4 linked regions of the Notamacropus eugenii genome follow. The protein of the gene in region 1 interacts with the protein of each later gene in a biochemical or structural test. Links are inferred from orthologs where the notes say so. Each region holds a gene or a part of one and is shown in the gene's direction. Other genes may lie near its edges.

Region 1 (7,699 bases):
CGATCCCAGAGAAGAACTTTTGTCTGTTCTCTTCGCTCTGAACCTTTGGCATGGTTCCACAGTGGACCGAGCTTTGGAGATCACTGTATGTGTGATCCTGGGTAACTTTTCTGGGCCTCAGTTCCTTCACGTGTAAAACGAGGAGGTCGGACAAGGTGAGGCCTAAGGCCCCTTCTACTTTCTGATCTAGAATCCTATTTCTAGAAGGGAGATATTGCTAGGCATAGGTAGATTAGATAGATGGACATTTGTAGATTATGGGACAGTGAATAGACTGGAAGGGACTTCAAAGCCCATCTATTCTTTCCCTCTTAGTTTATGGATGAGGACCCTGAGGGCTGAGAGAGTTACCTGTTTCAGGTCATACAGAAAATACTCAACTTCCAAGTGGGTCCTTTTTTATTAGTCTTTCTTTTTTTCTGTGAGATCCCAGGGTTCTTCCCTGCCTCAGTGCATTATACTAATACCTACCCTGGACAAGCAAGATCTCTAGTGGAATACTTACAGGATTGATTGGGGGCCTAGGGACCTGGGTTTTAGCTCTGATTCTACCATTAACATCACTTTTGGTGACTCTATTTCTTACTTCTGTGACTGTGGGTAAATAATTTCTCCTTTCTGACTGTTTCCTCATCTGTAAAATGATCTGAATGAAATTAATAATCTTCTAAGATTACTCTCCCAGGCGAAAATACCATTTATCTATGATCTCTTTTCCCCCAGCCCTTTTCTTTCTTTTTTGGGAGGTGATCAGGGTTAAGGGACTTGCTCAGGGACACAGCTACTAAGTGTCTAAGGCCAGATGTGAATTCAGGTACCCTTGTATTCCAAGGCTGGTGCTCTATCCCTTGTACCACCTACCTGCCTCTGCCTCCTCCCCTCTCCAAAGACCTTTTCTTCAAAACAAAACATTTGGTATCTTTTGTAGTTACATCACATTTCCTAATATATATCCCTCTGCCCTTGCCCTCCCAGAGAGCCACTCTTTAAAATAAGAAATAAAAGGGTAGAGAAAGAAGTTTGGCCAAACTAGCACATCCATCAGGCCTGACATTAGATGATGCTTCCTATACATATTCACAGACCCCCATCTCTGAGATAAGGATGGGAGGTGAAGTCTTCAGTACCTTGTTTTGGAGGCAGAATGGACGGGGAACTGGACTTGGAATCAAGAAGCCCCGGGTTGAAATTCTCCCTTTGATTCTTAAATGTTGACCCTGGGCAAGTCACTGAACATCCTTGAGCCTCAGTTTCCTTACCCTGTAAAAGGAAGGGGTTTGAGCACATGGCCTTTCAGCTCTCATCCATGGGCTGGGGTCTCTTCTTTCCCATCCCTTTTCTAGAAGACCCACCTTTCTTCCCAGAGGGACAGCTGAGTGGGAAGTGTGGGGGTGGGGATCCACTGCTCCCTTCCCTTTGAAAGCTCTTCTGCCTTTTACACACACAAAGGGTTTTTTAGGCTCCTTATCTCTACTTCTCCATTCCTTTGGAACCCAGTTTTTGCCAGTTCTGGGAAAAAGGATAGCTACGAAATAAAATCTCCCAAGCTCCCTGGAGGGAACAGGATGCGATTTGGTTTGACTTGGGGCTTTTTAAAAGAAAACGTTTTCAAGATACTTCCTTTTGGTTTAAGAATCCGGCCCTCTCTGGGCTCCTCAACTAGAAGAAGGAAGTTTTTTGTTGTTGTTTTTTTTTTTTTAGGTGGTGGGGGGAGGAAAGAATGGTGGAGTGGAGGAAGGGTTATCTCCTGTCTTAGAAATCGCATCCAGCTAAGAAGCCTCCTACTCCGTTTGCACAGGTGGGATTCTCCAAGAGAATAGGACTGTGGTCTCCTTCTCCCACCAGGATCTCTCCACCTTGGTCCCATTCTCCCACCACTCCATCATCAAAGGAGTCCTACAGCAGGAAGGCTTCAGTTTAGGGAGCTAGCCTTCTCTGCTTGAGAGTCTGGGGGACAGAATCTAAAGTGGGGACATTTATAAACTCCATGTCCTCTTCCCCTTCTCTCTCCCTCCCTTCCCGCCTATCTGGTCTTTGCGATCTTAGAACAAGCTAGTCAGGGATGAGGTACCTGTGGCCTCGAGGCCACATGTGGCCCTCTAGATCCTCAAGTGCATCTTACTTGAGGATCTAGAGGGCCACATGTGATTTTGAAGCCACAGGTCCCCTATCCCTGAGCTAGAGCATAGGGCCTTCCTTGTAAACATTAGGTGCTTAATACATGTGCATTGAATTAGATTGAATAACATTTGTGACTTTGGACAAATCATTTCCCCACTTGGAGACTGACCTTTCAGAGCTAATATTAGGAAAATCCTTGGCCAGCTTTGAACATGTTATAAAAATGCAGATTCCTAATTTTCAAAAATCTGGAATGAAATTGCAGTTTTCAGTTCTATAAGCTGACTGGACAAAATAAGGGAATCTGAATGCGGAGTGAGGATAAAGGAGAAGAGAAAGAGAAACTTCCTTATATGAAGAGGTGTGTGGGAAAAAGAGGCTCTTTCCCCTGTTCAGCAGCTCTCTCCTTCCCTTGAACCTAAGGCAGCTCACCTTCTCTGGACAGGGAACATTCTCCTCCTAGGCAAAGGGCAATAATCGATCAGACTTGGAGTTGGGAAGGGACCCGGTCTAAATCCTTGATTTCATCAGTGAGGATGCTGAAACAGTGAGGAGTGATTTGCCCATGATGGCACTGTCAATCAGTCAACAAGCATTTATTAATCACCTGCCACATGCCAGGCATAGTGCTAACAAAGAGGAAAAGACAGTCTGAGGGAGGAACCAACAAACAACCTACTGCATATACTCCAGCTGTATATGGGATAAATAGGACATAATTAACAGAAGGAAGGCACTGGAATTAAGAGGGGTTAGGGAGGGAAGGCCTTTGGTAGAAGATGAGATTTTAGTTGGGATTTAAAGGAAGTCAGGGGAGACAGTAGTCAGAGATGAAGGAGGGTCGACCAGACTTGGGGGACAGCCAGAGAAAATGCCTGGAGCAGAGAGATGGAGCCTGGAGGCCACAGACTAGAGATGGCACCAGGGGATGTGTACCTTGGTTGTGTGACCCCAAATGCTCTCAGCTTGGTCCCATGCACCGCCTTTCTTCTCCTTAATAATGACTTAATAGGTAAAACTCCCTTGCACAAGTGGGAGGGGAGTCTACAGGTGTGGAACATTGCGTATAAATGTCAGATTTGTTTCAATGGTTTAGTGAATTTTTTTCTTTTTTGTCTTATTCTTTTAAAAAATTTCTTTGTTATAACATAATTGAGGGGAGGAAGGGTGACAGGTAAAGGGAGGGATCTTGGTTATGGAAAAACAGCAGCTATCAATATTTAAGATGGCAAGAAAGGCATTTATTATCCCTATTTCAGAGAGGAGGAAACTGAGGCCAAGAGTTCTGAAGTCTGAGAGGAGACTCAAATTCAGGCTTGCTACTTCTTTTTGCTAAATCACCTGTCTCATTAATGCTTAGAAAGCATCATTAAAGTTTAAAAAACTTTTTCTTCACAAGAGTTGGGGTACCTGGATGTTATTTTTATCCTCATGTTACAGATTCAGAAAATGGAGGCTTAGCAAAATTGAGCTATTTGTCCCAGGTGTCACCCAAGTAAGCACCCTCTAGATGCTGGTGCCTCTCCTTTCCAGAATTGGGTCTTCTCTACCTCTGAATCTGGAGTCAAGAAGATGCAAGTTCAAATATGATCCTAGCCATTAGCTGGGAGACATAAGCCTCTATCAGCTTCAACGTCCTCACTGGTAAAGTGGGGGTATTCAGGGCTGTTAACAATAACAGGAGCACTTATAGAAACCTCTAGAGTTTGCTAGGTGCTTCACAAATATTACTGTACTTGATTCTCACAACACTGAGTGGTAGGTGCTATCATAATCCCCATTTTACAGATGAGGAAATTGAGGCTGCGAGGTGGCTTAGTAGATTAGAATTCCAGACCTGGAGTTCAAATCTGACCTCAGACACTAGGGTGGTGTGACCCTGGACAAGTCACTTCACCCTGTTTGCCTCAGTTTCCTCGTCTGTAAAATGAGAAGGAAATGGTGAATCACTCCAGTATCTTTGCCAAGAGAGCCAGAAAGGGCGTGACAGTCGGACACAATGAAAAACCTGACCCAAGTCACATAGGTAGTGTCTAAGGCAGGTCTTCCTGATTGCTGGCTCTCGGCACCACATGGCTTACTTGATTGATAAGGGGAGATAATATTGGTAAAGCATTTTGCAAACCTTAAAGAATAATGTAAATTATTTATTAATATTATTGTTACTTTTTTTTAGCTTTAATTGTTAACATTATTTCTTTTGTACACGGCCCCCTGGATGGAGTGTAAAGCAGATGCTTCCTTCCGCAAGGGACATCTCCTAAGAAATTAACAAATGCGTGCTAACTGCAGTGACGTCAGAGCTCAGCCCGCTAGGGTCCCAATCCACAGGTCTCCTCTACAGGAAGAACAAGGTCCTAGGGAGGAGGCTGGGAGAGAGGAAGTGTCTTTGCTCACTGCGCATGCTCAACTAGCGGGAGGGACTCGGGTGAGCTGGGCGGGGCGGAGGGAGGAGGAAGAGAGATGGAGGCTTCTTTTGCGGCTGCGCAGCCGCTTCCCCGGCCCTGAGGCACCTCCTCCACTTCCTCCTGCCCTCCCCAGACAGCCTTTGCGCCGGCTGGCGTGCGCGCTGACGTCAGAGGCGTGCCCCTGCCCGGGAGCGGAGGAGACCCCGCGCAGTGCTGCCAACGCCCCGGCGGAGAAGCTGAGGTGAGTGCTGGGGGCCCAGGGGCTTCTTTTGGGGGGTGAATCACCCCTTTCCCCCCGACCCGAGTCCCGTCGCCTTCCGCCCCGCGTTCGGTCCCCGGCGCCCGTCGCGAGCGCGCGAGGACGCTGGCACGACCCTGGGCGCCTTGGCGGCGAGGGCAGGTCCATCCGGGGCGCCGAGGGGGGCCCTGCTCGGGCCGGGCTGTCACTGGCCGCGGCGGAAGCAGGGGGAGGGGAGGAGAACGGGAAGCGGGGTACCTCTCGTTCGGGTCTCCCGGACCGGGCCGCCGCCGCCCGCCTGCCCTCCCTCTCGCCCGGCTCTCACTTCCTGCTTCGCCGCCCGCCGCGGACATTTTGCTGCGCTGGGGGAGGGGAGCGGAACCGCCGCCGCCGCCCCGGGGAAGCGGGGTCCGGGGGCCCCCCGAGCTGGGGCCGAGGCGGCGACGCCCTTCCTGCCCCACCCGCGCCACCTTGGGCAGCCCTGGGCTCCCTCCGCCCTGCCGGGCCGCGAGCCCCCCCTTCCCCTCACTCTGCCCATCCCAGGTCCTGCGCTGCCCAGGACGAGGGCGAGCGGAAGCCCCCCAGGTGCGGCGACCCTGCCTCCAGCCCCCCCTCCGCAGAACTCACCTGATCCCCGCCCGTGGGCGCACCTCCTCTTTGTTCCTTTTATCCTTTTTTTAAAGCGCTCTAGGAGTGCGGTGCAAAGATGACGTCATTGCCGAGAGCTGGGGTGAGAGGGTTAACTCTTTGGTGGGGTCCTGCCCCGTTAGCTTGCGGCTCCGCTCGTTCTGGGGGGCCTTTCTCTCCAGGCGAGTAAACCTGGAGCCGGGGGGCTGGGGAGGGTTCATCCATTGCTCGCTCACCTCGCAGCCCGGCCCAGGTGTGTGGTAGGGCCGGGTCGGACCGGGCGAGGGTGAGGTTCCCTGGCGGGGCTGCGTTAGCTCCAGGCCACTTGTATAGGGGCCCGGGATTCTTGACTGAACCGGACCGAGTGAAGGTGGTTTTTGTTCCGAGACAACCTCCCCCTCCCTGGAGGAGCCTATTAAATTGCATTTATTTGATCATCGGGCTAAAGGTTTTTTCACTTTTATTTTATTTTTTGCTGCAATCTAGGTGGTGAATGTGAAACGGCTTATTTCACCCATACTTTGTTTACTGTCTGTGTTTGGTAGTTAAAAATGACGTTTGAGAATTTTTAAAATCATGAACTCCAAAAAGAAGTCAGGAGTAGTCCTTGAGCTGGTTAGTTTTTATAGACACCAGGGTCAGGAATGAGCTAATGGCTAATCTTTTGACTATAAAATGCAGTAATAGAGAAGTGTGTGTACTTTTGAAAACTCGACACTCGTGTGATGCGTTAAGTAGGGTCCACTCATGTTTGAACATGTAGCTTGAACTGGTTTTTCCTTTGTGTGCCTGAGAAGAACTTGAGCCTAAGGACTGAAGTCGCACAGGTTTGAGTTTTGAGACGAAATTTTCGAGCATACTTTTTGCGGTGTGTTGTGGCTGATGATCCTTGAGTTGGGATTTTTCACGTGGTCTTGATATTTTGAGGAAGTCCGGAGATACAGCTTGGAAAAGAGTAGTACCTTGTTTTAGAAACCTTAAACTAAGACTCTTACCTGTTTAATAGTTACATATTTCCCTTCTGTGGTAGTAGCATCACACAGTTTAGATTTAGTCACTGGTAGATGACTGTAATCAGCAACTGTGGGTCAGCAGATTCGTTAAAAACAAAATTTCTACAAACCCAGAAAATAAGCTTTGTTGCTGCTGCTTAGTGTGGTGAAATAGAGTGTTTGGTCTTGGGACCAGAAAGATTTGGGTTCAGAATGTTCGCAGTCATTTAATAGCTGTCACCCTGGGCAAGTTAATAATTTCGCTGTACCTTTATTTGTAAAATGAAGGGTTTGGTTTTGATGGCTTCCGAGATCCCTTTTACCTCTAAATTGATGATTCTGTGATTATTTTTGAACTAATTACTACTTAGAAACACCTGTAAATGCTACAGCTGTGCCACTAATTATGCCCCCTGCTGTGCTGAATTAACTCCTTTAGGTTAACTGATCATGAGGGTTTTTTTGTAGGAAGTTGAGACAGGGATCCAGTTTTAGAACTAAAGAAGGCAACCTGGAGGATTTAGGGAGAGCTAACACCAGACAGGTATGGAGTGAACCTCAGTGCTTGGAAATACTTAATCTTGGTTTTAGTAGCTTATTTTTTATTAGTTGTTTGTATCCCTTTCAGGTTATTGTTGAAGTCTCACTAGTTTTTTTAAATGATAGAAGAAATAAAAGGAAGAAAATGTTTTGAATTTGCTTTTCACATCCAGAGAATGTTAAGGAAAGGTCTTAGAAATTCACGATTAACTATGTTGTTGGCTGCATGCTCATAAAATCTCTCAAATACATCTTTCATTGATGCTGTTTCTTCTGTTTGCCTGCCTTGGGGTCATTTCCCTTTTCCTCAAGAAAGGAAAATGGATTGATTCAACTTCCTATGACTAGGAGTGTAACTTTTCTAACTATGTTAGAATTGCTGAGTATGCCTAGCAGTTTCTCAGATGTGGTAGAGTTTAGCCCCAGTCCCAACCCCTCCAGCTTGAGAATTTTATCTAAGCTTCCTTAGGCTGGTACTTTCAAAAACTCATCTGCTTTCTATTCTAGACTTTGATGGTATTGCTTCATTCTAGTTTATCTTGTATAATGGAAAGAATACTGATCTAGAGTCAGGGGTCCCTAGTTTCTTATTGAGACTTGCCCCTTAAGCTTTGTCAACTTTGAGGGAGTCATTTAACCTCTCTTGAACTTTTATCCTGTGTAAAACTAATTCCTGTGTAGACTTTTAAAATAGTGTTGTAGATGGAGTGAGGAGTATTTTTACACCACTTTACTGTTGTAACTCTTTACTGACTTAGTAAAGTCCCGTTAAT
Region 2 (7,285 bases), on another chromosome or scaffold:
CACTACAGGTATCATTATATCCATTCTACAGAAGAGGAAACTGAGGCTCAGAGAGGCTAAGTGACTTGCCCATAGTTGAATAGCCAGTAAGTGTAGCAGTCTGAATTTGAACCCAGGTCATCCCTGTTCTATGATCAGTTGGAAATTAGTCATAGAGTTTTAAAGATCGACAAGACTGAGAGCATATAGTCCTAGAGAAATGGGATGTTTACAACTAGAGAAGATCCTTAGAGATTATTTCACCAAATTCTGTCATTTTACAAAGAGGGGGAAACTGAGATCCAGGGCAGGGGGATGGATGTCCCAAGGTTGAATGGCAGTTGAAGAATCAGAATTAAAATCTGAGTTTCCTGTTTAGTGGTTTTTTTTTCCACCACGCCCCACTTTTACTGAAGCTTTGAAATAGAAATATTTAAATTTCCCTTAAAATGCAGCCACAGGTTTTGGATTGATTAATTCATTAGGCTGTGAGCATTCAGCATGTTCTACCCCAAAATGGCAGCTCCTGCTGTTGCATGGAGAAAACATGCTGTCTTTGCTTAGTGTTTTTCAATATAAAGGTGACAGAAGGAAAAAGGGCACTGCTGCCAATCCCCCATAATTAAACACCAACAAGAGACAGATTCAGGGAAAGGTAAGCCATGGCACCTGTGGCAAATAACGGCTGCTGGCCTTCTTCCTGCCCAGTGCTTTCTCCCATATGTGTGTGGTTTTGCTTTTCTCTCTATCTCTATCTCTCCCTTGCTGTGCCTCTCTGTCTGTGTCTCTGTTCCCTTCCCTTCCCTTCCCTTCCCTTCCCTTCCCTTCTTTTCTTTTCCCTCTCATTTTGTTTTTCTTTTTCTGGAAATCTCTCTTTCCCTTCCACCCCATACAACTGAGCCTTTCTTGTAATATAAGAGAAGTTAAGCAAAAAACACTCAATACAATATCTTTGTCTGAAAATGTATACAAAATTCTGCTTTAGTAATCTCCTGCCCTGCCCCTCTGCTTAGAGGATGAAACATTTATTAAATACTTATTATGTGTCAGGGACTGTGCTAAGTATTGAGATACAAGAAAAAGTAAAAATCAGTTCATTTTCTTAAGAAATTTAGTCTAATGGAAGAGATCACATACCAATAATTATGTACAAACTAAAGATATACAGGAGAAACTGGACATCATCGACAGAAGGAAGGAGTCTAGCATTTCAGCTGAAACTTGAGGAAAGCTGAGATGAAGGAGGGAGAGCATTCCAGGCATGGGGGACAGCCCTGGAAAGTGTCTGCAGTTGGGAGCTAGATAGAGTGTCTGGTTCCAGGAATGATAAGGGGGCTGGTGGTTGATATAGCCAATCTTGGGCTTTAGGAAGATCATTTTGCCAGCTGAGTAGATGATGGACCAGAGTGGGGAAACATTTGGGGCAAGGGGACCAAGTGGGGACTATTGCAGTCATCTGGGTGTAAAGTGGTAAGAACCTGCACCAGGGTGGTGGCAGCTTCTGAAGAGAGATGGGAATGCTTGCAAGGAGAGTTTCAAAGGTAGAACTGATAGGCCTTGTCAATGTCCCTCCTGTTAAAGGAGATTCCATCTCAGAAGGGGAGACAAAATAGAAACGGGAACTGGAAAGTTGGATGTTATATGATCTCTCCTTTCCTTTTCACCCACCAAGCACTTATTTAGCACCTACTGCATGCTTAATTGGCATTGAGGAGAAATATAATAAGGAATATAATATATTATATTTATATTATAATATAAATATAATAAAGACAGTTTCTGTCTTCACAGAGCTTAGAATCCACTAGGGCTATAGATAGCATATACACTGATAAGTAAACATGAGAGACCTACAGAATAAATATGTATCTATATCTATATCTATTTCCTTCTTCCCATCTCTTTGCGTTCAGCCTCTTTCACTTAAAAAAATGAAAACAAGTGTTATTTGGTACTTTTTGTATTTCTATCTATCACTAGCTTATTTTGCTGTCTCAGGCTGGTGATACATCCATTCATTAGCTGTGCCCAGGAGGGATCTGTTGATCAAATTGGGATCTTATTGTTTCCCACCAACCAAGCTCCAGAGCAAGTACGTAGCACGCTTGCTTTTTGAAACAGAGACACTACAGGGACAGCACATTGAGTTCCATGTCCGCAGGCTCCTGGTGGAAATAAAGCAGCCCCATCGCTGACATGTAGGGAAGCCTGAGTCTGGTGGAGGCCCGAGGGGGTTAGCTCAGCATGCGGACTCAGTCTGCTGCTCTTTGGAGCAGTCTGGAGTCGATTATCCCTCATTTGAGGAGTTATCTGTCCAGTTCTCTTGGCCGATTAAGTGGCTGATAGCTGGGAGGCCAGGGAGGTACAGTTTGTACACAGTTGTCCTGGCTGTGTCCTAATTAGAGAGGGACTCAGGCGCCCCATCACGTCTTTGATGGCTCCTGACCTCAGGCTGTCTTATATGCCTTCCTGTCTGTGCCACCCTCTGACACTGTGGAAAATTGGAAGATGAAAATCAATAGAAATGGTACTGATTTACCGAGTTAGTCACTGTGGGGGTTTTGTCAGAAATTCTCCTGGGGTGGTGCTAGGAGGAGGAAGCCTTGTCAAAGTCATTCATGCTACTGATTGTCCTCCTTTCTTCATATTCAAATGATTTTTTTCTGATAATTGTTAAGGATGGATGTTTGGACTTTTCCCACCCCCACCACACCCCATCATTGGGAATGACACCTGTCATTTGCACTATGGAATCATAGATCATAGACTTAACCTTGGTAGTCATTGGGTTCATTTCCCTCCACCCCAATATTTTTACAGAGAAGGAAAGAAACTAAGACTCAAAGAGGAGAATCTACTCATATTAGCTCACACAGGTAGTAAAGGATTAAACTCAGTATGATTTTAGGTCCTCTGGCTCCATTCTCTGTCTTTTTGCTGCCTTCCATTCAAAATTAAGAATAAATGATATTTTGGGGGAGTGTTGCTTGAAATAATTTGCTTTTAACAAGTCTTGTTGGCAAAGATTTTGTGTGACCCAAGGAATGGAATGGAATGGAAGATGATAAAGAGTTGTGAGTTTGGGAAAGACAGGTGAAGATAAGTGACTGAGGTAGCTTGGTAACTGTAGCCTGGTGAGCAGTACTCTCCAGCAAGCAGAGACTAAGATTTTACTATTCATTAGTCTCTTAATCCCATCAATAAAGGAGCATTTATTAAGTACCTGCTTTGTGCCAGGGCCATGCAATTACAATGAATGAAATATTTCCTGTTGGAAATGAGCTTGTCTTCAGAGGAGAGACATTAAGGCCATGTGTAAGTATACCTTGATAGAGTGCTGGGTCTGTAGTCAGAAAGATTCATCTTCCTGGGTTCAAATATGGCCTCAGACACTTATTAGCTATGTGACCCTGGGTAAGTCACTTTATCCTGTTTGCTTCAGTTTTCTCATCTGTTAAATGAGCTAGAGAAGGAAATGCCAAACCTCTCCAGTTGTCCAGAAAACCCCACATGGGGTCTCAGAGAGTCTGACACAACTGAAAGAACTGAACAACAAAAATGAGTACATACAGAATAAATAGAAAAAGAATAAGTACAAACCGAAAGAAAGTAGTTCAGTCCAAGGGAAGGGCACTAGCAGTTGGGAGTGGAACCGGAAAAGGCTTCATGCAGAAGATGGTACCTGAGCTGAGTCTTGAAGGCAGAGAGGGATTCTGTGAGGTGGAGGTGAGGAGGGAGGGCATTCTAGGCATGGAAGATAGGCAGCCAGTACAAGGGCAGAGAGACGGGAGATGGCGGGTCTTCTGTGAGGGGAAGAGGAGACTATTTTGTCTGGGTTGCCCAATACAGGAGGGAGAATATTGTCCAATTCAGCCAGATAGATGGACTGGGACAAGATCATACAGGGTTTGCAAAGTCAAAAGAATTTTGGATATGATATTTGTAGCAAAAGAGAGCCATTGATAGGGGAAGTGACTAGATCCGAACTGGACTTTGGCAACAATGTGAAGGATGGACAGGAAAAGGGAGACGAAGCAGGAAGGTCAGTTAAGATAATGCTACAATAATCTGAGGAGGAAGTGTTGGGGAGTCTAACAGAGAACACAGTTGTATGATTAGAAAGGAAGGATAGGGATGTGGGAGTCAGGATGCCCGGAATTCAGCGCAACAGAGCTAGGATTCAAAAGGGTTTTGAAATACTTTGAGCACATAATCTCATCTGATCTGTGCCTCATCCCAACTCTTTTCCTATTGGTTCTCTTATTATCCTCACTTTACACGTTGAAGGAAGAGGTTCAGAGAGTTAGTGACTTGCCCAGATTTCACGGCTACCAAGGATCTGAGGTAGGGTTTGAACCATACTCCAGTTTTCCTTATTCTAAGAGCAGCACTGTCCACTGTTTGTGTGACTGAGCAAGTCCCTTTGTCCTCTGCAGCCCCTTCTCCCTAGGGCACTTCCTAGATTTGAACCCAAAGTAAAATCCAAGAAGATAATTCAGGTCTCTGGGACTTGTGTCAGCCTCCCCGTGAGCTGCCACTGCACAACCAGGCTCATGGAGAGCAGCCTCAAAGGGACAATAGCCAAGTGGGGCAAGGATGCTGCTTTGGAAACATCGTGGGATTCTGATCTTACCATTTACGGCATGATGCCCATCATCTTCAGCGCAATTTGCAAGTTGTTGGAATTCGACTCCTTCATTAATGGAATAATAATGATACTACTGTTGTGGCTGCTGCTTCTGCAGCTGCTGCAGAAGATAGCAGAAGCTGGCACTCATATGGCATCTTCAAGTTTGCCAGGCACCTTACCAGCATTACCTCATTTCATCCCTACAGACATCCTGAGAGGTAGGTGTTTTTATTATTACTGATGAGGAAACTGAGGAAGACAGTGGTTAGGTGACTTGGACAGGTCATACAACTAAGTAAATGTCTGAGGTGGGGTTTGAACCTGAGGTCTTCCTGACTCTGAATTCAGTGCTCCATTCCTTGTGCCACCTAGAGACCTCTTGTCCTTAAAGGGGACTTGAAAGTTCTTTACACTTCTAAATCTTTCTAGCCTTTTTTCTCTATGTTCTTCTCTGTCTCTCTCTCTCTCAATATAGTCATTTATAAAGTTATACACACATATACATGTATGTATATGGCCACATATTTAAAATTAAACCCTACATGGATATTTATACATACACACACATATAAAATCAAACCCAAGTTTGAGATAAGTATGTATGTCCATTTCTTTTCTTTCTTTTTTCAATCATGTTTGTTGCAGCCATAAGAAATATGTATCCTTTGACTTAATATTGGTGAAATCCTACCATACAATATTTTGCAGGAGTAAAGTAAATCATAGGATCCTAGATCCTGGGTTAGAAGGGACTTCAGAAGCCATCGAATCTAATTCCTTCATTTTTCATGGGGAAACTGAGGCCCAGAAAAGTTAAGGAACTTGTCCAAAGTCACATGAGTAATAAGTGCCTGAGGTGGAGTTGGAACCCTGGATCAGTGCTCTTTCCACTGTTCCATGGAGTGATAGGAGCCTCTTTTCACTTGTACCTTTTTCCATATCGCTACCAGTCAGTTTTCTTGCAACATCTCTCTCTCTCTTTACTTCCTAAACCTTTAAATTAATTTTTAACACACTGTGTGCCTTCTTTGTGCCTTAGGAACTGAAGACAGTTTCAAAGAAATGTGTCCCTGATGGGGAATTGGGATACCTGGGTTCTAGTCTGAGTATGGCCTGCAAGGTGCTGACCCTCTCTGGGCCCCAGTTTCCTCATCTGGAAAAGGAAGGGTTGGGACTAGATGAATTTTCAGGTCCCTTCCACAGCTCTGGAATGTTGTGATTTGCACTGAGCTTTGCTATTTTTAGGGAGATCATGTGTCTGTCAGATGACAGTCCCCAAGCCAAGATACGAGAGGAAGATGGTGGCAAAGTAGGGAATCTGTCTGTTTGTCATAGATACAGTAAGTTCTGACATTAGTAGGTCATCTTCTATAGTTCAAGTTTTAAATAGCTGCTTTCTGATGGACTGATGTGCTAATGATGATGGCAAACAGGCTTGTGGAGCTCATGCTCACACCTCGTCCCATTCATTTATACTTCTGGTCCTGACTGGTGATTTGATGAATAAAATATTTCTTTAAGTTAAGAGATTCCAATTTTCCCTGTCTGAAAAGTAATTGAAACACTCAAAAATCAATCCACTATCCCTTTTCCTCTCCCCTCCCCCCAGCCATCTTTAGGCAGCTAAGTGTCAAAGTGGATAGAGTGCTGGGCTTAAAATCAGGAAGATCTGAGTTTACATGTGGCCTCAGATAGTACTAGCTGTGTGACCCTGGGCAAGTCATTCTGTCTGCCTCAGTTTCCTCAACTGTAAAATGAGGATTATAATAGAACTTAGATCTCAAGATTGTTGAGATAATATTTATAAAGTTCTTAGAACAGTACCTGGCATATAGCAGGCACTTAATAAATCATTCCTTCCTTCCTTTCTTCCTTCCTTCCTTCCTTCCTCCCTCCCTTCCTTCCTTCCTTCCTTCCTTCCTTCCTTCCTTCCTTCCTTCCTTCCTTCCTTCCTTCCTTCTTTCCTTCCTTCCTTCCTTCCTTCCTTCCTTCCTTCCTTCCTTCCTTCCTTCCTTCCTTCCTTCCTTCCTTCCTCCCCAATGTGTTTTCAGAAATAGCCAGAGAAGCTAATTACTGGTGACAAGTAAAATATTTTTCATAACAGATAATGTAGTTATCTAAGGGATTTTGTCAATACATTTCTGATGTGCATTTTTTTTCTAAAAAAATCTTTACAAAGTTCTTAGCTTCAGGTCTAGCCTACAAGAAAGAATTGACTGAATTGTTATATATTAAAAAGACATGGTGTACTTTGGGAAAGATGGTAGTTTCAACATACGAACCAGTTCTCCCCACGTATCTCCCCCAGCAACACCCCTCCCACCCCACCATATACACTCATAAAAGCTACCAGTCGGGAAAAGGGATGGGGGGGAGATCAGAGAGGAATCTAAAACTCTTCAAAAAGAAAAAAAACTTGCAAGAAGGATATAGTAGGGGAAGGCAGTCTACAAATTTCCTGCAACATCAGCCCACAGTAACATAGTGACTGTCTAGCTAACAGTGACCTCCACAGCTTTATATGGTATTGCCCTTCCATAAGGATACAGCAGGGGAACACAAGGTGGATATATGCAGCATAAAATGACTTTGAGGTATTTCTTTATGCCTCTCAAACCGGCAAAAAATAATTAGAACTGACAAAGCTAAATGCTGGCAGGGTTTTGGAAAAGCAAG
Region 3 (7,588 bases), on another chromosome or scaffold:
CTGAGATTGCCAGAACAAATGGGAAGATTAGAGTTGAGTAAGAAAGGCCAGATTAAGTGGGAAGATTCAAGGGGAGCTCAAGGAGGCTCCCAGAGTCTGAACCCCATCACTACAGTTCCGTGGAACTTCAGTTTGGTAGTCAGTCTAATACCTACCTCTTCTCTCCCACACTTTTCTTCAGAGCCTTCCAAACGCTGAGCTAGCTCTGGCAATGTATGCATCAACCTCATTATTAATGTGTACATCCCTGGAAAGTACACTACCAAGGTAAGTGAACTTATCCACAGCTTTCAAACCTTCTCCATTTGTTGTAACCAATGGTTCCACGTATGAATGGTTCAGTGCTGGCTAATGGAGCACCTGTGTTTCCTTGGTTCCTTTTTTTGTCAGTCAGGCTCATTAGCACAAGCAGAGGGGAATCAGTCCATTCTTTGTTGCATCTCAGCTTCAGAGGCTGCACTGAGTGCACGATCATCTGCGAACAAAAAGTCATGCACCATCATCGCCTTTTCAACTTGAAGAATTTACCATCAGTGCAGTAGCTCACCTTGATGCTGTGGATTCTAGTATGTAATGGAACAGCATACACCATAAAAAAAAAAACCCAAAGAATTCAGAGCAGCAGAGAATGACTTATACGAACTGAGGCAAGGTGAAGTAAATGGACAAGAAAACAAACAGTAATAACAACATTGAATTCTGTATCAACAAAAGTACCAAGATTGGCCTTAGAGAGAGATCCCTCCCCTATTTAAAGGGACTGTAGATGTCAAGTATTACATATTCTATCAATCTCATCACTTGATGCAATGATTGGTTTTTAGGTTGTTAATCATTTTTGTATTTTTTGTTAACAAGGGTTAGTTCTCTGGGCAGGGGATAGGGAGAGACTTGTTTAGAAAAAAAGTGAAGTTAAAAAACAAAAGATATGAAAGAGTAAAAATGTTCCAAAAGAGGAGCGGAACAAAGAAAATGTGTTACACTAGTCCTAGAAAGGACAGCACCCGATGGTAGATAATGATGATAATAACTAGCATTTATAGTTTGCAGAGCAAACCATACCTTTACAAATATCATTTCACCTTAGTGTCAAGTCACAACAGCCCCTGGGAGGCAGATGCGATTATCGTCCCCATTTCACGGATGAGGAAACTGAGGCAAACCGAATTTTATGTGTCTTAGCCACAGTCACACAGCTAGTAAGTGTCTGAGACACATTTGAATTCAGGATAGAGAACTAGCGTGGGACTCTGGAAGACCTGGGTTCAGATTCTGGTGTGTGACTTGAGGCAAGGCATTTCACTCTTTGTTGTCATTGGGCAACTCTCTAAGACTGTTACAAAGGAATTATGGAAAAACCTCCCAGGAGGAAGGTTCTACCACCAGAGTTCTTGAGTGGATGGAATCCATCAGTCATCAACCAAGCACTTAGGGGAGGCAAAGAAAACACTGCAAAGATCAAGCCTCGAGGAGTTTACAGTGGAAGCAAAGCAGGAAGCAATTTGTAAGCAGCATAGAAACACATTTATTATTCTCTCGTATTTGCATTAGACTTTGAACTCCTTGAAGGTTGTGACTGATTTTACACGATGTTTAGCACACAGTAAGCACTTAATACATGTTTTTTGACTTGACTGTATACCGACATATGGCAAATGAAAAACTGCAAAGTAAGGTTTTTTCTCACTTCATTTAAAAAAAATCCGAACTTAGTAAACATCAAGTAAAAATAAGTGTTTCCATATACACTGTAGAACAGGAGAGACTTACAGAGTATAATTTCTGTTCTGTAGAGTTTGCTTTTCTTTATAAAGTGCATAATATGTTCAATCTCTCATTTTCAAAGTTCGCCTGCCCGGTTGTGATTCCTTCTGGCCTTCTGTTTTCTTCTCACTTTGGAGGGGGAAGGGGTCGACCCTTAGGTTTCCTTTCTCTTCCACCTCTCCACCTCCACCCCCCCAAAATATCCAAGTGTATAAGGATTCGGTGGAAAACCATTCAGATGCAAAACCCGGTGCTTTGACTAGAGATGGACACTTTTTGACTAAATCTGAAAATCAGAACTGAATAAGAACAGGATTTTAGGTGAAAGGCTGGATGCCACCCTAAGCAATTTGTGTAAAAGGGAGAGCTTTTATCTCAGCATATCTCAAATTTATATTTTAATGAGGATGGGGCCAGTGGGGTGGAATGAGATTCTGAGTGTCTGAATTGAAGGAAGAACTTGTAAGCCTAGGGAGGACTGATTTCTGGCTAGAGGGGAGATATGATGGAGGACATGGCTGAGGAAATTCCAGGTCCCTCTCTAGACACCAGTCTAGCCACAGATTCTATAATATAATCTGGTGTCCACTATTCGGTTACCAAAATGTTTCCAATAAATTGAATTTTGCCTCCACCACAAAGGGGAGATAAATAAAGGCATGGTTGGGTAGAAAGCTTAACTTCTGCTAGGTGTTGGGAATTTTCCTAACTGAAGGCTCAGAGGAATCGTGATTGAACTCAAAAGTTTTTCACCTATAACAAACTCCCTAAAGAAGAAAGAAAGACTTTTGCCCTTCCCCTTAGTTGCTTAAAACGAAGAATTAACTTCTAATTTATGCTTGGTTTTTGGGTGGGTTTTTTTTAGGTAATTAGGGTTAGGTGATTTGCCCACAGTCACACAGCTAGTAGGGGGTCTGATATCAAATCTGAACTCAGGTCCTACTGACTCCAGGGCTGGCACTCTATCCATTTGCCACCTAGCTGCCCCTAATTTAGGCTTTGTGTCGATATGAATTGTCACATATGTACCTGTTTTAAAATAGGATTTATCTTGACTTTCCCAGAAAGAATACATTCAGCCCTCAGACTCACAGAGTTTCAGAATACCATGGCAGTCACTTTCAAGTAGGGCCCTGGGCCCAAGAATCCTATTTCCCCTTAAGCCAGGTCCAGGGACCCCAAAATTCCCCTTCTCTCTCTAACGCAGCCTCCCAAGTCCTCTATCCAAACCTTAGCAGGCTCTAATAGCTTTCATTCTCCACACCTCAGTCTTCTTATCTGTAAAATGGAGATAATGATGCTAACCCATTTCACTGGTTAATGAGGGGGAAAGTACTAAGATTAAGTACTTTAATACTTAGGTACTAGATGAATCCTTAGTTTCTTTCAAAGCTCAGATTAAATGTCACCTTCTACAAGAAGGAATGGAAGAAACCTTTGTCAAGTGCTTTCTATGTATTAGACACTGGGCTATGTGCTCGGGATACAAAGTTTAGAACTTACATTTCACCAGGAAAACTAAGATACTTGGGGGTGAGGTGATTGGGGAATGGGAAGGGATAAGTGTTCATGTGACACCTACTATGTGTCAGACACTGTGCTGAGTGCTTTATGAACAGCTCGGTTAGGGAAGAGGGGTGGGGCAGAGGGGAGAGGAGGAGAAGATGGTTGGATGGGTCAGGAAGATGTCAAATGGTCGGCTACCTGGGTCCAGCCAGAAGTGGGTTAAGCGGACTAGTTGATGGGTTCTCCATCACGAATTAACTCAGCTAGGCTCCTGGGCTGAAGCTGTAGAGATGTGTGGATTAACTTCCCCAGGAAGTGGGGCCCTAGGTCTAGGGGTTCAGGTTTGGTCCAGGTAGTGAGACACAGGTCGGTAGTGGGAAGACCTGAGCAGGTGGCGGCAGGGCTCCACAGCCTTACCCCAAAGACTCCTGTAGTCCCTTTTGATTGTACATTCTGTATTTATGTCTACACAACTTGTATATTTATGTACATACAATAGGTCACGTGGCTAAGGACCGAGAGCCAGTGTGGACAAAACCAGTTAGACCTGGGTTCAAGTTCTGCATCTGATTCACACTGGCCCCGCTGTGTGACTCTGGGCAAGTTCCCTAAGCTCTCATGGTTAGAACTCTGGTGTTCTCAAACTGTTTGGTCTCAGGATCCCATTTACACTCTACAAAACTGAGAACTCCCCTCAATAATTAAAGATGTATGTGGGTCACAGGTAGCAAAACTTACCATATCAGTAAGTATTTTCAGCAGTATTGGCAAAATAGCTTTGACCTTCTGGCCCCCACTTCTCCAAGGAATTAATGGCCTAAGCCCGTATGGGGCACACACGGCCTGCAGAAAAGCGAGACGTGAGGTTCGGGACCTAGTCCTCCAACCTAGAGCTTTCCGGACTTCCCTGGGCCGGAATATAAACTCCCTGAGGGCAAGAATTATGGGTGCCTCCAGTCTAACAGCCTGCCCGCACTGTGGGGGCCAGATTCCTTTAGGACTGAACAGCCAAAGGGAGTCGAGTTCCCCAGCTCGATGGCCCCCAGGCATCCTTCAAGGTAAAGCCCCAGGCTGGACACGAGCTGGGCTGGATCCCCCGGGTCCTCCCTCCTTCTAGCCCACTCTCTCCTTCCTCCCCACACTCATCTTTCCCTCCCTTCTCCTCCCCACCCCACCTCTACCTCCCTGGACAGCTCGAAGCAGCAGCTGGAGAGGCGGGGCGGGGAGGGGCGGAGCCGGCTCGGACCGGGCCTGGCCGGGCCGGGCCAGAGCCAGGGCGGTCATTGGCTCGTCGGGGACCTGGGGCGGGGCCCGCGGAGGCGGAGCTGCTGGCCGGGAGCCTGGGAACAGTTCGGTCCCAACAGCTGAGGGTCTTCGTTGTGGCAGCCGCCGCCTGTCCGTCCTAAGCCCATCCGGACCCGGACCTACCGGCTTGGCTGAGAGCACCTCACCCTAAGTTCCCGGGGTAAGATAGGACTGAAGCGGGGCGGCTGTTCAGGAGGGGGGCACCCCGAGGTCCCCACGCCAGGCTACGGAATTTCCCTGGTGGGAGTGAGGGGTTGCTCGATGGGTGGAGAGGGTCCCCCCCCAGATCCTCCCGCCTCTTTCAGCGTTTTCTGTCCCTCCTCCTGCACTGTCCCTGTCCCCCCTCCCTCTCCTTCCCGGAGCTTTTCCTCGGTTCACTCCTCCCCTTTTCCTCCCGGCCAGTCGTGCCCCTTCTTCCTTTAGGGATCTCCAAGACCCCCGGCCAGCCTCATGGCCAGCCCTCCCGCAGCCTCCCTGCCCTCAGCTACCACTCCTGATCCTGGGTGCAACCCCCCTCCCCGCTCTCCGTCCCGCCCCAGGGGGAGGGGGAGAGCGCCCCGTATTTTTAGAAAATGGCTGAGGTGTGCGCCTATCTTTAGCCGTGCCCTGAAACAGATCCTGGCTAGGCAGGGCAGGGCAGGGCAGGGCTGGCGGCGCCCTGCTTGGGGGTGGGGAGGGGGTCCGAACGGCCCTTAGTGCTCCAGCCTCCGGACAAGCCTCGAGCTGGGGCGCCCTCACTTCCCTTGGTGTCGGACCCCCGAGCCCTCGGGGACGCTCGGCAGGCTGGGCGTCCCTCTGCCGAGGCGTAGTTGGTGACGTGCCGGGGTCCGGCCCCCGGCCCTCCCGGTGCGGAGGGTCTCATAGCCCCCTCCCCATTCAAAGAGCAACCGGGCGGCAGGCTCGAGCTCGCAGCCCAGAGCCAGGCATGGCTTTTCTCCATGACCCCCCTGTCCTCTCTCCACCCTCCCTCCCGTCCACGGGTGTAACCCGGCAAGGACCGGACTCCAGAGTCTCACCCCATGCCGGGGGCTCTATGTGCAGGGGGCGCGTGGCGCCATCTACTGGCCCCTGTGAGTTAGCCGCTGAGCTCCCGACCCCAAGGGGAACCCCGTTCTGTGGCTCCTGGTAAATTCTCATCCTGTAAAATCCCTGAAATCTCTGGCCCCTGGAGAGTTAGGATTTAAGACTGACTCTCTCCCTCTTTCCCTCCCTCCCTCCTTCTCTCCCTCTCTCCCTCTTCCTCTCTGTGTGAATTCATGGGAAGACATCTTAACAAAGGAACCCTGGCTGAGGGTCAGAGGATTTGGGTTACTGAGCCTCACTTTCCCCCTCCATAACATGAGAGGGTTGGAGTCTATGACCTCTGAGGTCACATCCAATCATTCTGTGATGTCCCAAATGGAGGTTATCTTCATAGGCTCCCAGGGCCTTGAGCCAGGGGTCCCATTTGATAGAGCAGAAAGCTGAAGTCAGGGAGCTTGTGAGTGGTTTCTACCAGGCCTCCCAGGTTGGCAGAGCTGGGGTCAGCTTCAGGTCTCCAGGTCAGCACACTTTTCCCACTAGAAAATGTTTCATTGTGAGGAGGGCAGGTTGGTGTTAAACATTCATTCCTAAAGCTTTGAGGTGACAGATACGGATGGGACAGAAACAGGCCCAATTTGGGGCTTGTGAAGATAGCTGGTCTAATCCTAGAGGAAAAGGGGCTTTGCGAGGTCCCTCAGAGTAAGTGGAGGGGGTCCAGGTCCTCCAAACTTGGGGCTTCTTCCTTACCACCACCTGATCCTCCCCCAGAATCTGGTGGCTTGGTGGCCTGGCTTCCACAGACCTCCTGCCCTCATCAGATGTGATCCAGATGACAGAGACCTGCCTGGGGCTTGACACCCACAGGACAACTGGGAGGAACTGGCCAGCAGTACCTCCCCACCCCACTCTTTCCCTGTTCAGTTCCACATCTGGAAATGGGTGGACACATCTGGCCCAGAATGAAGCAGCTGTCTGGCAAGCACTTCTGCCCACCCATGGGCTAAGTTTGTTGTGGAAACGCTCACTGTCTGGGAACAGCCTTATAGGCCCTCAGCTGAGAGGCAAGGGGTTTTGGAGGGGGGGTTTATAGACCCTGAGATCTGAGCCCTAGAGCTAAAGGGGCTAGGGTGGCCAGGCTGCTGAAGGGAGCAGGAGGGAGGGAGGTTCCTCACCAATAGGAAGAGTGGGCCCTGGCTCTGTGCCAGGAGGTTTACTGGCCTGCCAGCTGTGAGTGCAGGGCCTGGCCCATCTGGACTTAGTCCCCACCTGGCAAGTCTGCTCAGTCGTGCACCTTATCAATGAGCAGATCGAATCTTTTCCTGGGATCCCATGATAATGAGGGCTTTGGGGAGGTGGTAGGGGGTTTAGGTGGGCTCCCCCATTCAGGGCTACCTGAGTCCTCTGGGAGCTCCTAGTCTAGGTGGGCAGGCAAAACTACAGGCCACACATAGCAGTGCTGTCCTGTATACACAGTGCAGAGGGGATAAAATGTGGTGGTGGGAGCTGGAAGTCAAGAGGCCTGAGTTCCGGTCAGGCTCTGCCACAGGCTTGCTGCGTTATCTCAAGCAAGTCCCTTCTCTTTGGGTCTCTGTTTCCTCCTCTAAAGTGAGGGGGTGACATTAAATCCACAAGGTTCACCTCTGACAGTCCTTTGTAGTCTAGACTGTTCTAAGTTCCTTGAAGTCTGACATTCCAACCTGTCTTCCTCCTGATCCTGACATTTCTGTCTTCTTCCCTTTAGTCACTGGAAAGCCAGGGGCACTTACTGTCATGGGAATGTGTAGAAGGATGGCTTCTGGTGGGGACCAGGGCAAGAAAATGAAATGGTAGGGACAGCTTTCCACTGTGGGCAGACACTTACTTTGTTCTTTTCTTTCAGAGTGTGTCAACTTCCAGCCTCTTGGATCCAGGAGAAACAGTCATCTGCCCATTGAGGGAGCCAGGCAAGAGACACCCGCAGGCAAGGACACTGGCTGCCATTTTGCCCCTT
Region 4 (6,268 bases), about 48 Mb from region 1:
AGGGGTCCCAGAGTCTGACAATGGGTAGAGTGCTTCTTACTGGAACACTCAAATGAGTTGAGTCAGACTGAGCTGAGCTGGGAGCAGGGAGAGACTTGGGATGATCTCAAGGCAGTGTGGTGGAGTGGCTTTGGAACCAAACTTGGATCCGAATTTGGCTCTGTCACTTGGGATTCGGTGGCATGCCCCTTAACTGTAAGATGGGGGTGTGCTAACTTCCACTCACCTCTGCTCTCTGAGGTCCAGATGAGACAGAGAAGAGAGATATCTTTTCCTTTTCCCTATTCCTAGGAAACCCTCAAACCCTCTCCCCAAGTGAGTCAAATACTCCAGCAGGTAAGTAAGGGGACCTCCAAGTTCCAGGTCAAAGGCTCCCAAAGGTGGCACCTGTGCCCCCCTAACTCTCACTGGTCAGCTGCCCTCATGGAGGTGGGGGGGGACTCAGGGTCAGGATTCTCCCCAGGGAGATGAAAAGAACTGGAGAAGAGTCTGGGTGGCCCATGAGAGAAGCATCTGGATGAACGACTCTGTGCTCAGGATACTCGGCAGTACAGCCTTCCTTGCTTCTTTTCTCATCTGTATAAATCAGGAGATTCGACTCAGTGATCTGTATGAGCCCATGCAAACTGAACTTCTGGGTTCCCTCTGATAATGACAAACAGAAGAAAGGATGCTCAGGCTGTGGGTGGAGGAGGTCTCAGGATAGACACAGGGAGGTTGGCGAGCCCCTAACCCTCTCCCTTCTCTCTTCCCCAGTCCCAGGAGCTCCCACATCCCCCCACATTTCCCCAGAGAAGGTGGACATCCCAATAGGTGAGCCAACCAGACCTCTCAAATCTAGGGGGAGGAGACCTCTGTATTTCCCTATCCTTGCCTCCCTTCTGACTCAGGGACTCCATGACCAGAAAACTGGGAGGAGCATCTTAGGAACTGAGAGTCTGGCTTCCAGGAGAGAAGCTCCCTTAAACAAGTTGCCTCAATGTGCCTGGAGCCTCAGCTAGCTTATTGAGGTCAAGGGGGACCCCTAAGCCAGAGATCGCATGCAAGGATAGAGCCTAAGTTCCGAGCTATGCCTTAGAGACTCAGCCAATAACAGCCTTATCCCCACAGGTCCCACCTCACAGGATTATACTGTGTCCAACCTCATCCGACTGATCCTGGCTGGATTGGTAGTGGTTTCCCTGGGGGGACTTCTGGCTGAAGCCTGGCAAGCCTGGAGGGTGAAATTCCACACACTTTCAGGGCCCCCTTTCCAGGCCCAGGGCCCAACAGCTCCATAATGATCCTGGTCCCACACCATTGGTCCGCAGAGACTGGTCTGGGGGTGGGAGGTGGGGGTAGAATATTTCAGGAAGTCCTATGTGGTCGCCTAAAAGCATGAGGCATAGGAAGAGGGAATGTCTATGAGATCTGCCTGTGGTTTCAGCTTCATAAAGTACAGAGAAATGGTGGTAGGCCCCTGTGTCTGTCTGTCCATCCATCCATCCATCCATCCATCCATCCATCCATCCATCCATCCATCCTTCCATCCACCCATCCATCCATCCATGCATCCATATCTGATTCTGAGACCTCCTCAAGGACTAGGGGCTGATAACAGCTGTTGACCTGAAAACTTTGTTAGAGAAAAGGCAACAGGCTAAATGCATACATTTTATGATTTAATTAATTAATTGATCAATTCCCTATTAAAGAAAACGGTAACATAATGCATTATGGAGCCAGAAATGTTCTGGCTACCCAGTGCAGAAATCTTCTGGCTTATATACATTTTGCCGTGAGAAAGAAACTCTCCTAATTAAGCAAACCATAAATTCAGTAAGACTGGACAATTAACAAAGCAATGTTGGTCAGGCCTTGGGATTTCAGGCTGGGTAAGCATATGTCTCGGTGATAAGGAAAGAAACCCCACCACTAGTAAGTGGCAGGCTTCCTCCCCTAAACAGATAATTGACATAGGAAAGGGTAAACAATGTTCAATAGAAATTATGACCTAAGATGTCTATATTTTCTTTACCATTAATATGCCATAACATAGTATGTGTCTACAGATAATAAGATTCAAAGGAAAGTCTCATTATTCAAGATATAGTGTCTTAGGTTAAAGGTCTCCTTAAGGAGTGTAGAGTCGGCCTTGGCTGGCTTTTGCTGACATAGGAAAGGCATTCTCTGAGTTTACTTCAGAGAGAACAAAGAGATTATTCCAAAATTTTATATTAAACATCACAGCTTATCAACTCCAAACAGAATCACACAGTTATTCCTGAAGGGAGGCTCCACCTAACATTCCAATAGAACTGCCAAGTCCATGTTAATTGGGTGCTTGGAAGCCAACGCACACCTATCCTCTAGAGAGGGGGACACTGAAGGTTATAGAGCAAATAGAAGACAAAGCTAGAGCTGGAATCCAGTCTCCTCTGAACCTTCCGCTGGGCCCTCGATCACCTCCTTGCATTAGGGATCTCTTCTGGAACTCCTCCCAATTCCACTAATGTGACCCAACTCTCCACTTCCAAGTTTTTGAGGAGGCAAGAGCTTCACTCGACATCCCACCAGAGGCAATTCTGCATCATTTCCCCATCCTTTAGCCCTCCCAGACCTGACCCTGAATCTAGCTCCCTAGCCCCAAGGACCAAGGGTCTCTTCCTCCCTTCTTTCCTCCCCTTCCCCCAGTCACACACTCAAGAGGAGAACTAAACTGACAACAGTAGCTCCCATCCATCTCCATTAACTTTAAGATTGAAATGACAGACATTCTGCCTAGGCAGGAGGAAGAGGGGGCTCATCCCTGTCTTACAAATGAGGAAACTGAAAAGAGAAGGTTATATCCACAGGGACAAGCTGAAAAAAATCAGCCTAGTAGACACCAAGGACCCTGGGGTGCCCGGACCTTTCTTTCCTGTTGCTTTTGTATCCCCAGCACCAAGCCTAGCTCAGAAGAGATGCTTCATAAATGCTCATTCCAGGTCACTGGGTTCCCATTGGTCCATAGTGCAAGATGTAGGCCCAACATGGAGGGCGGAGGAGCCACACTCTGGGCGCCAGATGTGTGCTCAGTCACTCTGTGAGCCACGTAGGAGATGCTATCTCCCTGGCCTCACTTGCCTGCTCTGCCAAATGAGGGAATGTTTAAGCCCCCCAGGTCCTCATGAGCCTGTGAGTGGGACCTGGGGTCCTGGCTCTGCTCCTTAAATATCTTGGCTTTCTTCTTTGTCAGATAAAGGAGGGATGGGAGCAGATGATGATGAAGGTCCCTTTGGCTTGTGTTGGGAGAATGTGGGGTTCCTGGGTCCAGTCTCTGACCAGTGCATCCTCCAGGTCCCACCCAGGACTTGCCACGTTGGGTGATGCTAAGAAGAGGAGAGTCCAGGACAGGGTCTCCCCTCCAACCCAACAGCCCAACTCCTCATTCCCTCTCAATGCTCCACTGAATGAGCAACATCTCCCCCAAAATACCCCAGGCTTCTTGTGGCAGGCCCCAAAGAGGCACAAAAGAAGGAGAGTCAGGACGTGTACGTAAAGGAGGTGGAAGAAAACAACCTTGAGAGCTGGAAAAGACCCTGGAGATCCCTTGGAGCCAGAGAAAGTGAGGAGGGATTGTCTAGGGAGCTCCCTGGTAATGAATGAGTGAGTGGGTGGGTGGCAGAGGGGCAGAACTCGAAACTCTTTCCAGCTTCTTGAGCTGGAGACTGGAGGCAGGGAGCAGATTCAGGGTAGTCCCCCAGGGAAGGGGGATGGAAATGGAAGGGGGAGGGGAGGGATCCCGGGATGATTGCTGTTCCTCGTTCTCCAGGGCTCCCAAGAGGGCGGCCTTGGCTGGGCAGTTGCAGGGAGGCTGGGGAGACCTGTGTTCCTGCCCCTGAAAGGACCCTCAGCTGTCTTTCGTCTGACTCTAGGTCTCTTCTCCTGTCTAGTACCACCCCCATCCCCCATCAGCTGAATCTGGAAGTCATTACTCCTTCCCAACCCAGGCTCCAGGAAATTCCAGGCCAGGAAGCAGAGCAGTGGGGGCACAGAGGGGGAGGGGCATGTCCGAGGGGCTCTGAAGCATCTCCTCCAGCAGCTCAAAGCCTCCTTTAGCTCCTAAGCCCCTAGAGAAATTCCAACCTCCTCCCCCTTGCCCTCATCCCTAATCAGGGGGCGGTCCAGCACCCTGGGGGGAATTCCTGGACAGCTGGCCCTTTAAATCCCAGAGCCAAACTTTTGGGGCTGACACAGGGAGGGATGGGGAGGAGGGGCCAGGGACTTAACCCTCCCAACCCCGAGAGGGGCCAGACTGGGCGTCGGCTCCTGATCCTCAGGCTCTCGCTCCTGCCGCCCTTCCTGCCATGGCCCCCTCAAACTGGGGCTGACCTGCTGGGTCTGGCCAGGTAGGCTGGGACTCGGATGCCTGGATCCCTGAGGGGGTGGAGGCTGGGAGGCTGGATGCCAGGGTCCCTGAGTGCAGCGAGAGCTGGGTGTTCAGACTCCTGGGTCCCTGAGGCCCCTACTGGCTCTCCCTTTGCCAGGTGAAAGGAGGGATTGGTGTCGGACTCCAGGGGGCCCAGCCCCAGCAGAGTGGAGCTGGCCAGGACTGAGGACCCTCCCGGGGCCCAAGGATCCCCCTAAAGAGTAAGGGGGACAGTGGGGTGGATGGGCCCAGCTCCTGGGCAAAGAAGCCACGTGGGCGGGGGGGGAGCAGGGTAGACTGGGTACGTTGAAGAGGGTGCTCAGATTTGGCTGGGCTCCCCACCCCCCAGCCCTCTCCGGGAACTGGAGAACCAGTCCAGCGGGATCCAGGTGGGTGTGATTTCCGCCTGGGAGGGACCGGGATGTTTGCAGAGGGAGGGGGTGACCTAGGGACACGTGGAGAAGGAGGAGGATGCCCAGGTGATGCAGCTGGAGGAAGCAGACAGCTGCCAAGGGGGAGGGGCAGGGGCGAGGGACTCCCGGGGGAGCCAGGCCCTCCCGCTGGGGATGAGCGGGGACAGCCTCAGCCCGGGGCTCCAGGGACGCCTGACTCAGGAGGGGGGACATTCCCGCTCCGCCTCCCCACCCCGCAGGGCTGACCCGCGCCCCTCTTCTCCCAGATGCCCATCCTGAAACAGCTGGGCCCGGCCCTGCCCAAGAAGCGTTTGGACCGAGATGCCATCTCCGCTCCGCTGGGGGACTTTCGGCACACCATGCATGTGGGACGAGGGGGCGACGCCTTCGGGGACACGTCCTTCCTGAGCCGCCACGGCGGCGGGGGCCCCGGCCCGTCCCCCGGCCCCTCCCCGGGCCCCTCCCCAGCCCCCTCGGCTGCCCCGTCCCCAGCGCGCCCAGCCCTGCCACCCCCCACCGCTCCGCAGCCCCCACGGCCCTCCGAAGGCCAGTCCGAGGCCCGGCCGGCCGCCGGAGACCCTTTCCTGTCCTTTCACCTGGATCTGGGGCCCTCCCTCCTGGAGGAGGTGCTAGGCGTCATGGATCGGGGCGCCCTGGCCGACGCGGGAGCTGCCCCGAGGGCCCCCAACGGCGGGCTGCTGGTCTCCCGGCCGGACTTCGGCTCTGAGGAGGACCTGGAGGAAGTGATCGGTCTGTAGGCGGCCCCCGGCAGCTGGCCGTGTCCCCAGCACCCTGGCCAGGGCCCCAGGCTGGCCCCGGCCTTGCACCAGAAGTTTTTTATATGATGCCCCCTGTATAGCACCCCTCCATGCCCAGCTAATCCCCATCCCCACCCACCCCCAGCCCAGAAAATCTTTATATATAAAGAAATGTCAGCCATTTATGTCGACTGCTTGGCGTCGGTGTTTCCAGCCGGTACCGGGCTGCGGGCGCAGCCGGCCCGGACTGCCCAGCCCCGAGGCAGCCGGGCCGGGAGCGCGCTGTGTTCCACGGCAGCCGGGCTCCCTTGTGGGCCTCCGCGGCCACAGTGACCGCCTCTGCGCTTCCCCTAGGGAGGCCTTTACGACGCGCCCTCTTTGGCGGGCGCGATAGCCCCCGGACCGGCCTCCGGGGAGCCAGTCCCTTTAAGGGCCTCACCCAGGCTACGGGCTCCGAAGGGGCGTGCCCAGCGAGGCCGGAAGGGCGGCCAGGACGCTTGGGTCCCCGGGCGCGGCGGCATGGCGGAGGCGGGGGCGCCGGCGCCCACCTGCCGGTTCTACCAGGAGGGCCGCTGCCACTTCGGGGCCCGCTGCCGGCTCTCCCACCCCGGAGCCGGAGCCGGAGCCCGGACTGACCTCCAGCCGGCGCCGCCGTCGGGGCCCGAGGGCAAGAAGCCCCCCATGAAGACGGCCCAGGCGGTGATCGA

Evidence for each region.
Region 2: the proteins of CDC42 (region 1) and MCF2 form a complex in vitro, tested with the Homo sapiens proteins (2 studies listed by BioGRID). The link is inferred for Notamacropus eugenii from reciprocal best matches to the Homo sapiens genes CDC42 and MCF2.
Region 3: the proteins of CDC42 (region 1) and CDC42EP2 form a complex in vitro, tested with the Homo sapiens proteins (3 studies listed by BioGRID). The link is inferred for Notamacropus eugenii from reciprocal best matches to the Homo sapiens genes CDC42 and CDC42EP2.
Region 4: the proteins of CDC42 (region 1) and CDC42EP5 form a complex in vitro, tested with the Homo sapiens proteins (2 studies listed by BioGRID). The link is inferred for Notamacropus eugenii from reciprocal best matches to the Homo sapiens genes CDC42 and CDC42EP5.

What each region holds. Positions count from the first base shown.
Region 1 is NC_092876.1:62,146,174-62,153,872, forward strand, and holds the start of CDC42 (cell division control protein 42 homolog), read left to right. Parts: upstream 1-4,677; 5' UTR 4,678-4,770; intron 4,771-7,699. UniProt on the Homo sapiens protein: Plasma membrane-associated small GTPase which cycles between an active GTP-bound and an inactive GDP-bound state. In active state binds to a variety of effector proteins to regulate cellular responses. Involved in epithelial cell polarization processes.
Region 2 is NC_092879.1:60,593,952-60,601,236, reverse strand, and holds the start of MCF2 (proto-oncogene DBL), read left to right. Parts: upstream 1-4,278; 5' UTR 4,279-4,532; coding exon 4,533-4,827; intron 4,828-7,285. UniProt on the Homo sapiens protein: Guanine nucleotide exchange factor (GEF) that modulates the Rho family of GTPases. Promotes the conversion of some member of the Rho family GTPase from the GDP-bound to the GTP-bound form. Isoform 1 exhibits no activity toward RHOA, RAC1 or CDC42.
Region 3 is NC_092873.1:18,114,299-18,121,886, forward strand, and holds the start of CDC42EP2 (cdc42 effector protein 2), read left to right. Parts: upstream 1-4,571; 5' UTR 4,572-4,735; intron 4,736-7,477; 5' UTR 7,478-7,588. UniProt on the Homo sapiens protein: Probably involved in the organization of the actin cytoskeleton. May act downstream of CDC42 to induce actin filament assembly leading to cell shape changes. Induces pseudopodia formation in fibroblasts in a CDC42-dependent manner.
Region 4 is NC_092876.1:13,689,141-13,695,408, reverse strand, and holds CDC42EP5 (cdc42 effector protein 5), read left to right. Parts: upstream 1-4,241; 5' UTR 4,242-4,370; intron 4,371-4,508; 5' UTR 4,509-4,611; intron 4,612-5,042; exon of another isoform or gene 5,043-5,069; coding exon 5,070-5,561; 3' UTR 5,562-5,746; downstream 5,747-6,268. Other genes in the region: platelet glycoprotein VI-like, read left to right, coding at 292-336, 757-813, 1,111-1,280; LENG9 (leukocyte receptor cluster member 9), read left to right, coding at 6,081-6,268. UniProt on the Homo sapiens protein: Probably involved in the organization of the actin cytoskeleton. May act downstream of CDC42 to induce actin filament assembly leading to cell shape changes. Induces pseudopodia formation in fibroblasts. Inhibits MAPK8 independently of CDC42 binding.